Linked DNA regions of Arabidopsis thaliana. The protein of the gene in region 1 interacts with the protein of each later gene in a pairwise test. Each region holds a gene or a part of one and is shown in the gene's direction. Other genes may lie near its edges.

What was found. The genes of interacting proteins can lie anywhere in the genome.
Region 2: the proteins of AT2G41610 (region 1) and AT1G68380 interact in a protein complementation assay, tested with the Arabidopsis thaliana proteins (one large-scale study listed by BioGRID).
Region 3: the proteins of AT2G41610 (region 1) and HOS3-1 interact in a protein complementation assay, tested with the Arabidopsis thaliana proteins (one large-scale study listed by BioGRID).

What each region holds. Positions count from the first base shown.
Region 1 is NC_003071.7:17,344,395-17,349,375, forward strand, and holds AT2G41610 (uncharacterized protein), read left to right. Parts: upstream 1-2,762; 5' UTR 2,763-2,786; coding exon 2,787-3,719; 3' UTR 3,720-3,845; downstream 3,846-4,981. Other genes in the region: AT2G41590 (Ta11-like non-LTR retrotransposon), read left to right, coding at 1-309; AT2G41600 (Mitochondrial glycoprotein family protein), read right to left, coding at 1,203-1,374, 1,599-1,936, 2,194-2,376.
Region 2 is NC_003070.9:25,634,297-25,639,884, reverse strand, and holds AT1G68380 (Core-2/I-branching beta-1,6-N-acetylglucosaminyltransferase family protein), read left to right. Parts: upstream 1-2,422; 5' UTR 2,423-2,491; coding exon 2,492-3,031; intron 3,032-3,313; coding exon 3,314-3,952; 3' UTR 3,953-4,047; downstream 4,048-5,588. Other genes in the region: ARG1 (Chaperone DnaJ-domain superfamily protein), read left to right, coding at 5,358-5,485.
Region 3 is NC_003075.7:17,346,448-17,352,704, forward strand, and holds HOS3-1 (GNS1/SUR4 membrane protein family), read left to right. Parts: upstream 1-2,770; 5' UTR 2,771-3,063; coding exon 3,064-3,838; coding exon of another isoform or gene 3,839-3,933; exon of another isoform or gene 3,934-4,180; intron 4,181-4,334; coding exon 4,335-4,486; 3' UTR 4,487-4,716; downstream 4,717-6,257. Other genes in the region: AT4G36820 (calcium uniporter (DUF607)), read left to right, coding at 442-999, 1,089-1,547; AT4G36840 (Galactose oxidase/kelch repeat superfamily protein), read left to right, coding at 5,719-6,257. UniProt on the Arabidopsis thaliana protein: Probable very long-chain fatty acid (VLCFA) elongase that controls VLCFA composition and functions to inhibit abscisic acid (ABA)-mediated stress responses, including regulation of stomatal aperture, maintenance of primary root growth and inhibition of germination.

The sequences.
Region 1 (4,981 bases):
CACCCACCACTGAATCATGATGAGTTTGTAGCTGCTTATCCTCACTTGGACTCAGGTAGGAATGACCACATCAGATGTGAGGGAGAATCAAGCAATTTCAGACAAGACTTGTCTTCAGCTTCAAACTCCATAACTCCAAGAAGGGAACCACAATACCTAACTGATAGAAGACACTTTGAACCTGGTCAATCCTCAAGAAGACATGATGTTCGGGATTTAAGAAGAGGGTCAGAGAGGATTGGGAATCTCAATCAACAGAACTATGTGCAAAGATCAGGAGGGATACTGAAACCTCCGAAGAAACGCTAAACACTCTACCAACTTCTGTTTTTTTTGGATTGAAGTCTGCAGGTTAACAAGGAAGCAGCTTCAAGATACTCCTTTTGGATTGAAGACTGCAGGTCAACAAGAAAAGCAGCTTCAAGATATAATAGATGAGTATGGTTTTTGGTTAGGACATACTCCTACTTATCTTTAAATTCAGCATTGTCTTAGTTTATGTTTCAGTTTGGAATAGGCTTGTTGCCTTTTATGTTTAAGTGGAAAGTCCACTGATCAACTTTTTGTAAGAACTTAAAATGTTATCAATGAAAAGATATCAGTTCAGAGAGAAAAAAAAAAAAAAAGATACCTCAAGATCTATGCTTTTTTTATCGTTTTCCTATGATGTTATGTCACGTTAACACTATAGTATTCACACAATAACTGATTTATCTTTTCCAGAATAATTTTACTAACATAAGTTCTTTTTAGTGTTAAGTGATGCTTGCTTGACGCTGCGTGCTCCGAATTTTTGTTCTCTCTCATTTGCCTTTTTTTTGTTCGTAAATTTTTTTTTATTGCATTTTCTCACTTTTTAGTCCTTTCGGAGAAAGATCAAAAGACATTATAGGTCAAGTATTGATTTACAAAGATAAATACATGAATGAGGGTGGTTATGTAGATGTCGATTACTACTCACTATCTCATGACTAATCATCTTGAAAGATCAAAGATCAAACCAAGCTTGCTTGAAAATTCAAAAGCATACGATTTGGGGTCCCATTTGTTGGAAATATTACAGTTAACATGTATTCGTCGATACATCTTCCCTCAAAACATCCATTGCAAGGACTCTCTTAGCTAATAATACTACTCCTAAGGCATTTTACCATTGTTCCAAAAACAAAACTTGAAAAGAAATGAGCTTATGGAGTAAACACTCACGGCTTTGGAGAATGTGACATAGTTGATTCAAGCCTGCGTAACCAGTTAACGTATTGATCCTGCTCCTTCTTGTTCAGGTGACACAAAAGGAAATTAGTTAAGCCTTCACTGACCCCCTTAGATATTAGGTATTGCTCCAGTGCACTGTGTAGTTTGGGATCTACTTGGCTAAAGAAACAAAGAAAATAACACTGGTCATTGAAATCAAACATATGCAGACACATGAACCTCTAATAGTCTACTTCTTTTTCAATATATATAGAACAATTACTCCAGGGAAAGAACAATGGGAAGTGTACCCAATGCTTTGAGGTTTGGATGAAGTAAAACAGATATGATTCAAGTAACTTAAACAAAATGTTGAGAGATTATCATTTATGAGCTTACTTCACCTGAAAAAATGGTCTCCATAAGTGGAAGAAGGAGCAGAAACAAAAGAGCGGATAAAGTAGGCGCTCTCGATGTCGAAATGAGAAGATCCAGATCCTGATTCGTAAACCCGGCAATGAAACTGCAAGATAGAGCTGAGACCAGGCTTTTTGATACAAACTTTGGCATGAGCTTCCCTAGGAAACACTAAATCATCTTCTAGTTCTATAGGTTCTGGTTGCAATAAAGCAGAGACCACAACCTTCTCGCCTGAATCAAACTGTCTCTTCAGAACAATATCTTGGCTTTCCGGTGAATCCCAATCCAATTTGAAATCTCCTAGAGAACCGGTCTCAACGCCCTGTGGGGTTCAAGCACAAAGCAAAATCATAAAGGTAGAATGTAAGTACTTAAAATCCTAGGGTTTATGAGATCCAACATCAAATTCAAATTCGCCCATCTGGTAAATCACTCTAATGTTCATCAATTCAGAAAAATGAAATTGAAACTGACAGAGTCTGATCGAACTAATGTTGAGCACCATTGATCTTAAAACTCAATTGAGAGATTACTGAGAGCAACGAAGAAGAAGAAGGAAAGAGGAAGACAACAATTTACCTGGAAACGAGGATGGGAGATTTCGTGACGAATTTCACTTTGGAGGATCTTCAACAAATCACCATTTTCAATAGCCTTCAAGCCTCGTTTCAGAAGCGGATTCAACTTCCTCATCTCTCTCTTTTCCCTAAAATTGGCTTCTCTCAATCTACGGAGCACAAAAACTAAAGTAGACTGAATCATGATCCGGTTCGGTTTAATTCGGTTTATTTCCGTAGCAATTTCAGTAGACCGGAATTTAAACGGTTAAACCGAATTCTCAGTTACGTAATCATGCAATTTAACAATTACACAGAACCAATCAATCATCAGCTGCACACCAAACTTTTATTTCCCTTGAAGATCAAGGCTTCTCTCAATACATAGTTTCATTCAAAGGGTGATTTTTTGTATTAATAAACAAAAAATGAAGATAGAATTCAGATTTCAGATAGAGTTTCATTATCCATTTTAGTTCAAGCATCTATAACCAGACAATGAAAGAGAATCAACCATATGATGATGTCACGTCACACACACTCCTTATAAACTATATGTGTAGCTTCTAAGGAAACCAAAAACATATAGATCAAAACAAAAAAAACAAACAAATTATGAATTCAGAATGGGAAATGGATTCTGATAGAAAGAAAACATTTTTCAAATGCACAAAGTGGCAATTCGAGGACACACTTGATCCTATTAACTGTCCTTTCCACTATTTCTGCGACAGCATCTATGCCGGCGACTACCCTCAAATCACCGACGTTCTAGTTTTCTTCTTCGTTACGGTTACTTATTTGACGACGCTAATTGTTGTCGTAAGGAAGGTAATATCAAGAAGAAGAAGAGAAAATGATGATGATGGTGATGATGACAAAGCAAGAAGGTACTTACTTCCTTCTGGTCCAATCTCTCTTCCTTTGATCATCTTGATTCTTGCAAAAGGTCAAAGGATCAATACCCTTTTCCCAATTTCCATCTTTGGACCTGCGATACTACAGCTTGTTCAGCTCTCAGTGCTTTTATTTGAGAACAATATCGAAAAAGAAGCGAGTTTTGTCTTCTTCGAAGCCTCTACTATCTCTGGTATTCTCCACGCTAGTCTTTACTTAGACGCTGTGATTCTCCCCTATTATACAGGATTCGATGCTCTGGTCACATCTACTTTCTCTGGAGTCTGCAAGTCTTGTATATGCAGGAAAGAGCCATTAATAGTGGGAGGGAAGATTGTCTCTTACCGAGGATGGTCTAGTACAACGTTCTTGGTGGTTGGTGTTTTGTTTTTGAGGATTATATGCAAGTTATGCAAAGAAGAAGGAATAAATAAAAGAGTTTTGGTGGTTAAAAATGTTGTGCAAGGACTGACATTGCTTGTTCTTATAAGAGATTGTGTGTACTTGGCCGTTATGTCTCCTGTTGAAGAGCCTATCTTGTTTAGGGTTTTTGTGTTTGGTTTTCTTCTTCTGTTGATATGTGTTTATGTAATCACAAAAGTATGTTGTTTGGTTAGTCGGAGACAGAGTAAGAAGACATCAGACACATGAAATTTGAAACAAAAAGGAAAAATCAGAGGCAAGATGAAGTAAATGTAAATGATTGCTTAATGATGAGTTTATATTGGATGTGATGATGAAATGGTAAAACTTAAACATTACTTCTATATCTATTTATATTTATCCTTATTGTAAATAGTTAAATCAAAACAGTGAGAAGTAGTAGTGTCAAGATGACGCAAGATAGTGGTTACAGTTTTAAACAAGAAGAAATAGAAAAGTGGTGTAACACTTGCTAATTTGCTAGATATTCCATTAGGAAATTGCTTTTGAAAGCCTTCTGAGTTGGTTCATCACTTTACCCGAACAAAAAAATGACTTTTTACTTCTACTAGGCATAAATAAGTCTTGGCTTTTTAATTCAATATATTGGTTATGTTAATGTTGAACAAGATTATATTACAGCTAGTATATATACTGCGATGCAATGTTAAATTTTAGATTTAAACTTTGTTAAAGAAGATTAACCTTAAGAAAATAAAATTCCTAGATTTATAAATATATGACTAACCATACATACATACATATTCAAGTTCAGAAGTCATAGAATTATATCAATAATTAGGTGGTACCACTGTACTATCTTGTATTGTTATTTGTAGCATTGGATAGTTTTACGAAGTTTGTACTTATACATAATGATTAATGAGATCGTCGATCTCTGGTATGCTATTCCGATGACTAATTTATCCCCAAGAACCTACGAACAGAGATTATTGTTACATGAGTTCTCATTGATCATGGGTGTACTTTTATTGATATTAATTGATGAGATTCTAGATCGAACCTCACTTAAACATAAAACATACGAGAAGAAGAGATTCGTGATCCGTAGTAGCTCTGCTTATTCAGATATGACCACACCAATAGAGATGATAAGGACCCAAAAGCATGTACTTACCGAATTACTATGGCTATTGTAAACTTATGCTTAAATCCACGTAGAATTCAACCATAAGCCGGCGTAAAGTAGGTTTAGGTAAACTATAAATGATTAGTCTAAATTTTTAATTTTTTTTTTGTCAATCAATGATTAGTCTACATAAAAAAATATTTCTAGCCCTAACAATTTGCTCAAACACTAATAATATATAGAAGGTTTTGTTAATCAAGTACGCAAGTGAATTTTTGTGCGAAATTAGTTTTTATTTTATTATTATGATTTATACCAGAAACAACTTTATAAGCAAAAATGCACTCAAAGTACTTCACCGAGAGTATGGTGAAGGATCTAGTAAGAAGAGCACTAAGAG
Region 2 (5,588 bases), on another chromosome or scaffold:
AAATATATTTTTTTGGCTTGAGTTTTGTTTATTTTTTGAAAGAATAGGTGGATGAGAGAGATAAAGCGATATATGGTTAGAGGGTAAATTGGTCAAATTATACATTCAAAGTGCCTTCTTTTTAGAAAGTGTCTAACCACGGAAATGTTTTTTAAAAAGTGTTTTACAGTGTAATATTCTCAAAAAAAAAATAAGAGCCCTTTAATATAGATATAATTATTTAAATTTAATTTATATCTGTTTTAAGAAAATAATAACTATACATATATATATATATATATATTATAAAATCGACATTAAAAACGTAGTTGTTACTTTTCTTCTAACCATATTTGTTTAAATATACCATAGCTATTTATATATTTACAAAAAAAAAAAAATCATAAAATGGGTTCCAAACCATTACTTCATTTGGCCAGCCATGGGCTCATACGTTATGTTGTGAAGTTCTCGGAATAACAATAAAATTTCAAATTTTAGAAAATACCACTGTTACTAGCCTACTTTCACCTTGTGGATCATTTTGTTAGCTATACATGATACTATTGTTTGTTTATTTTTTACACTCTAGAATTTGTATCATAGCTAGCAAAATGATCACATATATGTTGTTGTAAAGTTCTCGGAAGCAGCCGTGATGGAAAACGCATATTCTCGTATCACTAGTGAACCCAAATGATCACATATTTGTTGTTGTTTTTAACTCAGCCATCATTACCATGCATGAGTCTCGTCTAACATGACGGTTCTGTAACCCAAATGGAATGGAATGCATTTTTCCTACACTACGTCATGACATTCCCAGGGTTGATGCCACTTGTTTGCACAATTATTGTCTCTTCACCCTACAGCTTTCAACAATGTGCAACTACACGTAAATTTGACCAATCAATTTATTTATCAATATTTATATAGTGCAACAAGTAATTTTCTTTTATTTGAACCAAACAAAAAAGTAATATTCTTTCAGTTTAGAATTCGCAAGGTTGACTTCAACTTAGTTTCATATCAACTATAATTATATTCTGTGTATATAGTTAATGTTTGAATACTCTAATGGCTTTGTATGAATGGCCTGATATAACTGTCCCTCGAAAATCTATTACTTAAGTAGAAAATACATAATATATAAAATCTTCAATTTAATTACATAGGTTAAATCCTTTTCACTCACATAGTCTCATGGATCATTTTTTTTTTTTTGCATCCATGGATCTACAGTTTTGTAAGAAGTAAAAGATAAACCATGAAAAAATCCTATATCTGAGTTACATGAGATTAATTTTCTAACAAAAGCTTTAAGCAAATAATGTTTGTCACTTTCATTTGATAAATAAATAAAAAAATACAAAAAGAGATATTTCGTCTAAGAGAAAACATACGAAACCAATTTCAATAGCTCAACTGGTAAAGACTATTAGACAAAGCATGTAGGTCGCCGTTCGATAAAAAAAATTATTTCCCACGTATGTAATTGTTTCTCCAGTTTACCTCTTGATTTAATGTCTACGCGGTTGAATATATTATCTGTAAGAGTTGGTACCATGTCTATTGCATACTATAAACATCGAGTAAATGAAATTCACATCTTTGTTCACTTAGGTTTTTAATAGCAATCTACACGATCCTGCTTTTATGGCTGCGTCATTTTCATTCTTGTAGATAAAGTCACTCCGGTAGTTATAAAAAAAAACAAATTAGGTTTAACTTGTAGTGCTATATATATATATATATATAAGCTTCATATTGTTTTCATTACGATCTTTTTTTTTATATATACAATGAAATTGTTGCAAGCGTTAAGCAATGTAAACGTGGAGGTTTCAAGGATGTCTTGTGAACGATTACCAGAAAATAATGTATATTATTGACAAGGTATGCAATAAACTTATGAGCAAAAACGAAAGAATGATAAATCATATAGGTATAAGGTATATTAATAAGTAAAAGCAATAAACTTAAACATGCGACCAAGAGATAAAAAAAAGTATATAGCGAAACTACAAGTAAAACATTTAAACCACCATCAATATTATATCCACTTATAACAAAGAAATATGATTTTGGGAAAACGAACTTAAAAAAATATATATTGCATGGACATATAGCGAAATAGTTCATTCAAAGACAAAGATTGGTTAGTCTACTCCTATCAATCTTTTTAAAAAAGTAAATTAATATTGATGTAAGGAAATTTGTAATTTTAGTTTAAAGAATTAATGCTAGTGAAAGAGTAGTAATAAGATGCTACGTATATAACCCAATTGACTTTGCTTGGATCATCAAAAAACTGCCTCAAAATGTTATATTCCATTGCGTGTGTATTTTTGTTTTTACGAGTTAATCACTCACGCCACAAGATCTCCACTTTTACTTGCTCTTCTCCACTTTTTAACCTCATTCCAACTAGGAAGTAAGATCCATGTATCTCTTTTTAACCCTTAAAACATTGGAAACAAGAATTCTCTTACACATGTATCGGTAGTTGGAAATGCCGACCCAAAAGGACCAAAACTCACCATTATCTCAAGTGATAGAGCTTCTCAAGAAACTACTCCACCATTTCCACAATCTCCTTTTGTATTTCTTCATCCTCTGGATCGGCGTGATAGTTGGAATCATTGTTTATCCCTCTCTACAAGGATTATCTTCGCCTTCTTCGTTAACCATCCAAAGTGTCTCCCAACTCTTCTTTGTAACCCCTCCTCCTCCTATTCTTTCTCCTTCATTTCAGGACAATGGGCTTGACATGTTTCTGATACCACTGAAGAACATCATGCACGATATGGAAGATAATGAACTTCTGTGGAGAGCTTCAATGGATCCTAAGATCAGGGATTACCCTTATCCTAGAATCCCGAAGGTTGCTTTCATGTTCTTGACTTGGGGACCTTTACCTTTGGCTCCTCTATGGGAAAGGTTCTTTCGAGGTCATGAAGGTCTTTTCACTATCTACGTTCACACCAATTCGTCTTACGACGAGTTCATGCCGCAAGACTCTGTGTTTTATGGCCGCCGTATTCCAAGCAAGGTCAGCTTCCCAAATTATTAAGAAATTTATTTCGATACATTAATAGGTTTGGAATTAACGTGATAAATAAAATTTATAAATATATTATAAATAATATATATATATATATATATATATATATAACGGATCGAAGTACATGAATACGATATTTTTCCTATCTTTTTTAGTAAATTACATAAAAATATAAGAATATTTGGTATCTTAAAAGAAAACATATTAATTATTACACTATAATACATAAAATAAAATCAATCCAATGTCATTAACTATAAACGTATGCAGAGAGTGGATTGGGGAAACGCAAACATGGTAGAAGCAGAACGAAGGTTATTAGCAAACGCTTTATTAGACATCAACAACGAACGTTTCATTCTTCTCTCCGAATCATGCATCCCTCTCTTCAACTTCTCCACAGTTTACTCTTTCCTCATCGACTCCACTCTAACCCACGTCGACTCCTACGACCTCACAATCGGTCGCGTCCGCTATGACCGCCGCATGTATCCTCACATCCGCATGCACCAATGGCGAAAAGGCTCTCAGTGGTTCGAGCTAGACCGAGCCATGGCCCTCGAGGTAGTCTCTGATACGTTCTACTGGCCAATCTTTAAAGCTTACTCTCGCTGCCCCGACGAGCACTATATCCCGACGCTACTCAACATGAGGCCGAGCCTTGGGTTGCGTAACGCGAATAGGACGCTTACTTGGACTGACTGGAGCAAGCGTAGGGCTCACCCGAGATTGTTTGGTGAGTGGGAGGTTAATGTGGAGTTCTTGGAGTGGCTAAGGATGAAGAGTGTTGGTGATTGTAAGAAAAATGGAGAAAATAAGATGAGACTTTGCTTTCTCTTTGCTCGCAAGTTTTCGTCGACTGCTTTGGATGAGTTACTCCGGTTAGCATCTATCGTCATGTATTTCTGATCACTCTCTTCCCCCTTCGTCCAAAAACAAAGATGCAATCGGTTTAACTACCAAATCTTCTTTAAGTAAGTGAAATATACAGTGTGTGCTTAACAAGTTACTTTCAGTACTAGGGATGTGAGATTAATCAAAGTCCTTGATAAAGTTAGGAACTAGCCTGTCATCAAGTTATAAACAGAAGATAACTTGAGAAACATTGAGAAAACACAAAAGCCTGACCCCCCAATCTCATTTGGTTTAGTCCTCCATTAGCATTTATGAGAAGGTATCCATTCATATTAGCACCTAACTCTGCAGACAATGTATACTCATATGGTAAGAACTTATAGAAGAGAAAAATAGGAAAAGAAAAAAAAGAACAAATTGCTACTAATAGGACTAAAAGTTTTGCCTAGACACCTGAATACTCAAAGAAGAATAAAGTCATGTCAGATATTTAATCTCCTTCTCCCATCTTCTTAAGCGAGATAGAAACTAAGCCACAAATGTTTAACCAAAGAAACACTTGAAAACACTACTACCACCAAGAAATGTGAAGAAGATCTTAATTAAGCAGCTCAATACACATCCATTTTTGGGCAACACTCAAAACGCAATTTATCAAGTTGTAGAAACAGAAACAAAGGCTAAACCACATATAAACAAGACCTTCTCAAGCCAAAAGTCGTAAATGTTCGACAAGAGAAACACTATTAGTAACAGAAATGTGAAGATTTTATCTTAATCAAGCATGTTCTAGTATGAGAAACACCTAAAAAGATAGCACAAAAAGCAAGAACCTAATGAGAAGCACCACCACCAATGGCAAAATTTTCTATACAATTGTTGATTTTTTCCCCATTTACATATTGATTATTCCATTTTGCTATATTTAGTTTTTTTTTTTTTTTTTTTTTATTCATTCAAATTCAATTTTACATATATTTATGTGACCCAAAACATAATTCCAATTCATTTTCTACAAAAATTCAATTTTTGACTTACCATATCACAAATGATATTATTAAAATAATATCAATAATAATATAATCACTCTTATAATAAAACTTCGTAATGGCCACAAAAAAATCAGTAATTTTCGATTTCCTTAAAAAGTCATCGAATTAAATATGAAAAATCAACGAGTTAGTTTGTCCAAAACGAATAAAATAAATTTAATAGTACCTTTTATTTTTTCGGAAACCCTTGTTTCGTTTTTTTTCCTCGATCTTCTTCTTCCCCAATCTCTCTTATTTTGTGAGCTTTTTAGATCCTCCTTTCTTCATCGTTTCTTTTCCGAGGTTTCAAATTCGTTCAATTTCTCGATTGAAGATACCTGAAATCGCGTTATTCTAGGTCCGCCGCTGTTGGATCTGCAAATTCCCCTTCGAATTTGAACATTTGTGATTTCAAATTCTTCGAGAAGATGAGCGCGAAAAAGCTTGAAGGTTCGTCGGCTCCGGCGAATCGACGGGATCCGTACGAGGTCCTTTGTGTATCAAAGGACGCTAATGATCAAGAAATCAAATCCGCTTACAGAAAATTAGCTCTCAAGTAAGCCAAAATTTTCCGATTATAACGATATCAAAACTGATTTTGCTTCAATTTCATCGTCTTCAATCCAATTTCTTAGGGTTTCTGGTTTGTTATATTGAAA
Region 3 (6,257 bases), on another chromosome or scaffold:
AGATGCAAGAGATAATAACAAGATAAAACAGAAAATGTGGCGACACGTTTTTGCCTTTCTTTTTAATTCTGTTGTGTAATTTACTCATAGTCAAATAAGTTATCAAGATATTATATCTTTTTAAAATTTAATCGGACGGTTATTGAGGCATCGAAAGCTATCACCAACATAAATCTATCCACGTGGACGGTAGTCACCTATCAATATTCACGAAAAGGCAGCGTTTATTGAATTTCTCGTGATATATCTGCTGACGTGTATAAGGCCCCACAAGATTTATGTTAAACGTAAAATTAAAACTGTAACAGAGAACTTTGGTTACCTATATAAAGCTCGCTCTTGCTGTTTCATTTTTTCAAGTAGTAACTGAAATCGAATTCATTTTCTTCTCTTCCTTTCTGGGATTTCGATTTTTCGTATTTTTTTTTTGTTCTGTTCGTCATGGTGATGATGAAGAAGCTTTTGTCGAACCGTTTGTTCAATATGTCAAAAACGGCGTCGCAAAGTCTCATGAACTGTCGTACTTCGTCTTCTTCTTCGTTAGCCATGCGAACTAGGGTTCCTAAAGATATAGGAGAAGCCACGATTGATCCAGAGCCTGGAGATTTGACGATTTCTCAGAGGTTTTTGAATAAATTCTCCATGAATGGGATTGATACGACTTCGAAGATGTCTATTGGGGAGAGTCTGATGGAGAAGCTTAAAGAAATGGATATGAACAAGGATCGGATTCGATTAGACGGACTTTCTCATCCGAAGGAGGAGACGTTAGGGCTTACTGTGCAAGACGTGAAGAAGTTGCTAAGAGCAGCAGAGATCGAAGTTATTAAAACGAAGCTGATGGAGACAGGAAAAATCTGGATTCGTTACTCAGATTTCTTAGGTGTTTGTAGTGATTCTTCTTTGGATCCTTCTCAAGGAGCTTTGATCGCTAAGATGCTTGATGATTCAGGAAACGTTATCGTTATGGGAAACTCTGTTTGTTTAAGACCTCATCAGGTAACTTCTTCCTCCTCTTTGCTTTTTTTTACCATTTGAATTCTTTTTTGTCTATGCAATTCTCTGATAAGGTCTTGTGTGTTGATCAGTTAACCAAATCCATAGAGGGGCTTCTTCCTTTATCACAAATCCATAACCCGAATGACCCAAGAAGAAAGGAGCTAAATGAGCTTGAAGCTATAAAGACGGTCATTGACCAAAAAGCACATTCTTTGGTGAGAAGAGAGCTTTGGGCTGGTTTGGGTTACTTGATCATCCAAACCGCAGGGTTTATGAGGCTAACGTTTTGGGACCTGACATGGGATGTTATGGAACCGATCTGTTTCTATGTCTCATCGGTATATTTCATGGCGGGTTACACATTTTTCCTCAAGACATCGAGAGAGCCTTCCTTTCAAGGTTTTTACCAAAGCAGGTTTGAGGCTAAACAAAGGAAACTGATGCAATCTGAGGATTTTGATGTTGGGAGGTATGATGAGCTGAAAAAGCTGTTTAATCCCAAGCCTTCAGGTGCTGTTCCCAAGATTCTTGGATCTCTACAGAATTGATCATTGGTGTCTCGTTGTCCTACTAACCTGAGAAAGATATATTGACCCCCAAAATTGTGTCAAACTATAATTTTTGAATATTTCATAATCTTTCTAGGAAAATAGGAAAAAGACAAAAAAAAAAAAAAAAAGTTCTATTAGTGCGGCTTATGTAATTTGGAAGAGTAGATAAAAGAATCGATTGTGATGTAGATTTATAAATTTCAAGTCTGACTTTCTGAATGTTAAATGTTACAATACTTCCATGCATATGCATATGAGATATCATTACTTTAAACATGTTATCTATACCAAAAACTCAACAAAACCTTGTCATTTGAGGCCTAAATCTTAGTTGAAGCCAATTCCGAAATTAGTTTTAGTTTTAACTTAAATGATTTTTAGTTTATAAATTAAACAAGTATAACATATGCTTAATGATTGTTTCGGCGGGCTTACATAAATGATTGATAGAACATGTTATGCGTGGGAGTAGTCGTTGTAAGTTCACCGTCCAAGTCTCCTTTTAATTAATTCACGAGAAATCAACTACGACCGTGTAAATAAAATACTTAGTTTGGTAGGTCAAGAATCACTTCTGGAAAATGAGACTAAAGAAAAGAGTCACTTGTGGAAAATACTATCAAGTGGACAAAACCAAATTCCTCATAGTGAAAAAGAGATATATTACACTGTTCCTGCCGCATTTGTTTGGTACGTATCTAATATTTTTGTTTACTCACGTGGTACTATAACGCTTATTGCCAATATAACGATTAGGACAATTTGATTTCTACTAATTTTATTTGATACGTATCAAATATCTTCTGTCTTAGCTGGTCATCAAATTGTGTGAAATAGTAATTTAATACTAACTCGTTACTGATTACTGATGTAGATTCATCTTCGTAACGATCGCCCGATCCATATTCCAATATTTGCATTTTGTTTTACGTAATGCACTCTTTCTCATCTGTAGCTCCTTGAGTAAAACTTAAAACTTAACCATGAAGGCATCTGTAAATTGACGCTTGTCTGAATTTCTCAACACCAAACTCTCTTTCGTGTCTAGAGGTTCTTTGGTTTTCCCACCTGCTTTTCGATTATGGTAATGGTCAACTTGACGCGTACCAAGTTTTCTGATCTTTTTGAAGATATTTCAAATATGGTTTGCTATTTCGATTTTCGACAATAACAGTAAAACCCCATTAAGACCATAAATCTTAAAAATTTTCATAACCGTTTTACAATATTCATTTATGTAGCCAAATTAAATTTGTCACGTAAATGTGACAATTAATATTGGTCCACATCATTTTGCTTTCATGACAAGACCGGCCATTTAGTGACCTACTGTATGTTCTACAACAATTATTGGAAAATGGAAATTAAATATCCCAACAAAAAAAATAAGAGCAGAAACAGAGATTCACTTTGCGAAAAAGTCGCACGCACACATATAAAAGACAGGACTAGAGGAACAGAGGAAGAAGAAGAGTCACTGTGATCACCACCACCGTACGATCAAATTCAAACTATGTCAACGGCTCTGATTAACTCTATTACCTACTTCCTCTCCGAACATCCATACATCGTCGGATTCCGTTGGAGTAACAGCCAATCATGGGGCTCCACGTGGTCTTTCCTCTTCACATCAATCTCCCTCTATATCGCCGTCTCATCCTCCCTCCACATCCTCCTCTCCGCCGTACGCCGAAGTAACCGTTCCGTTCCTTTAGGTCACATCCCCGAAATCCACAGCCTTCTCATGTCGATCCTCTCCGCCACCATTTTCGCCGGAATCCTCCTCTCCGCTGCCGCAGAGATCCGTGACACACGGTGGTTATGGCGGCGGAGCAAAACCGCCACTCCTCTCCAATGGCTTCTCTGTTTCCCTCTCGGGACTCGTCCCTCTGGTCGTGTCTTCTTTTGGTCATACGTGTTTTACCTCACGCGCTTTCTCCACATGTTCCGTACGATTTTCGCCGTTTTACGTAGCCGGAGGCTCGCCGTGTCTCAGCTCTTTTGTAACTCCGTCATGGCCTTCACGTCTTTCCTCTGGCTAGAATTCTCGCAGTCGTACCAGATTCTAGCGATTCTATCGACGACTCTGGTTTACTCGGTGGTTTACGGTTATAGATTCTGGACCGGGTTTGGTTTACCCGGTTCGGCTTTCCCTTCGTTTGTGGTGAATTGTCAGTTGGTTCTCGTGGGCTGTAATCTCGTGTCTCACGCTGGGGTTCTTACGATGCACCTCTTTAAAGGTGGATGCAATGGGATTGGCGCGTGGGGTTTAAACTCGGTTCTCAACGGTGCGATTTTGTTGCTTTTTCTTAACTTTTATGTGAGAATGCATTCGCCAATGCGACGCCATATTAATAAAATGAATAGCCAACGTAACGCTTAAGAATTAATTGATCCTTTTTACTAGTTTTTACTTTTTACTCAATAAAACAAATCTAATCTTCTTTTTTGTCTTTCACTTTTAAAACTGAAGTATAATCTAATTTGTTTTCTAATAACTAAAATGTTCTGCGTCTAGGTCTGTACATCTTCTCAAACCGGGACAATTTTTTTTTTATAAACCATCGATCTCTGACTTTGCATGAGATATTTTACATTTGAACTATTGGCTCTTAGTTAACGCAATCTAGTTCTTGTTTTTCATTCTTTTAAATCTAGTTTTGTGTTTTTTAAGTGGAAAGAAATTATGTCGATTATTTATAAATATATCTTTAAAAATATTTATTTATTTCATAAGAGGTTTTTGATCCAAAGACTCAAACTTGGGGTAACTTTATGACGTAGATATACCACAATACCCACCAAAATGTGGTGATAGAGGAAACAAAGGTTTACATGGTGGATCATGGACGAGGATGATCAAAAGCTTATACTCTTTACCAAGTGAAAATGCATTTTGGATAAGAGGAAAAATTATTAAAAGCGAGAAAACATAATATGGTTTGAGACTGATGTGTTAGATTGTAAGAGCTGCAATTGTATCTCTCTACTTGGGGACACACTTTTGATTTTCTATTTACCGTTTGAATGCCGTATAAGGAAATGTACAGGTCAAACGAATATGGTCGAGTGTTCGCCTTAGACCATTGTATAAGGAAATGAACTATGTCGACTATATTTAATATTTGGGCCTAGTATAATATTACTACACTTAATCAAAGTTAAGGCATTTATAACTGTAGAACAAGATGGGCCTAAGGCCACGGTTTTCTACTTAACTAGGCACACATATGACATATCCCATAGTAAAAAAGCTTACATAATAAGGCCCACATCTGAAATCTGATTCTCCACTGTAAAAATAAAATCCTCTTAAGCTCTCGATCGATGGTTCTGCAATCTCACAAACCAGAAACAAAGAGTCCAGGCTCTTGCAACCAACCGCGGAACTTGTTGAAAGGCGACGAGGAGAGAGAATTTCAAATCTCTCCAGATCAAAGTGAAACACAAGTACAACAAGTAACCGACAAAGTGAAGCGCAAGTACTTGTTTCTTTCCTTTTCCTTTAATATTTGTTAATTTGAGAAAAGTAAAAACCATAAAATATATATAGTTTCTGTCCGAATCGGCCTATCTTCACAAAATCTCGATTCCAATCAAGAATTTATGGCAAGAAAGGTCGATCAATCAATCAGATGATTATGGATCTAGAGATCTCTAAATTTGTGTTGTTGTGAATTGAGAATGCGAGAGCATTCGACGATGTACAATTACGCCCCCGAAGTGCCACCGCAAAGTAAAAGGAAGAAGACGATGAATGAGGCGTCTCCGTCGTGGTCTGGATTACCGGATTCTGTGGCTGTGAGTTGCATGGCTCGCGTCTCGAGATTGGACCAAACAGCCTTATCTCTCGCTCCAAGAAATACCGCTCTCTCGTAACATCCCCTGAGCTCTGCAGCACGCGATCGCTGATTGGTTGCACTGAGCCATCTTTCTTCGTCTGCTTGCGCATCTTACCTGATCCAACCCCTCGCTGGTTCGTCCTTACGGGTAGTCGTCGACTGAGGCCGGTCCCATCGCACCCCTATCAGGCTCCGGAATCATCTTCTTTTGTGGTAGTGAATTGGGGGATCTATGTTATGTAATCGGTGGAATCATAAACGGCAATCCCACTTCCGATGTCTTGTTCCTCAACTGTTTTTCTCAGACATGGCACCGCGTCCCGTCTATGAAGATGGCTCGTGCTTCCGCATCGGCAAGCCTCATAGACGGGAAGATCTACGTTTTTGGAGGGTGCCCAGAGGACGCTGATTCCTCAAACTGGGCGGAGGTATTCGATCCAGTTTACCAAACTTGGGGTATATTTAATACGCCGAAGATGGCCCATAGTATCAACCAAAGTGTGGTGATAGAGGAGAAGAAGGTTTACGCCGTGGATGAGGAGGACCAAAGCTTTAGCTTCTTGCCAAGTGAAGGTAGAATCTGGAAAAGCGGAAAAAAAGATTCTAAGGTAGGAAGTAGACACGATTGGTGTGTCATTGGGAAATTACTATACTGTCGTGCTACTCGCGGTAGAATACTATGGTGCCAACCAGATGAGTTGGACTGGAAAGAGGTAAAAGGTTTGGAACAGCTACAATTGTATCTCTCTGGTACAAGATACATCTTCAGACGTACCTCTGATAAACGACCGTCAAAGACCAACGTCAAATATGATATTAGAAAAATCTCTAGTAACTCTGCTGGGAACATTGTCATCTTCGGGAA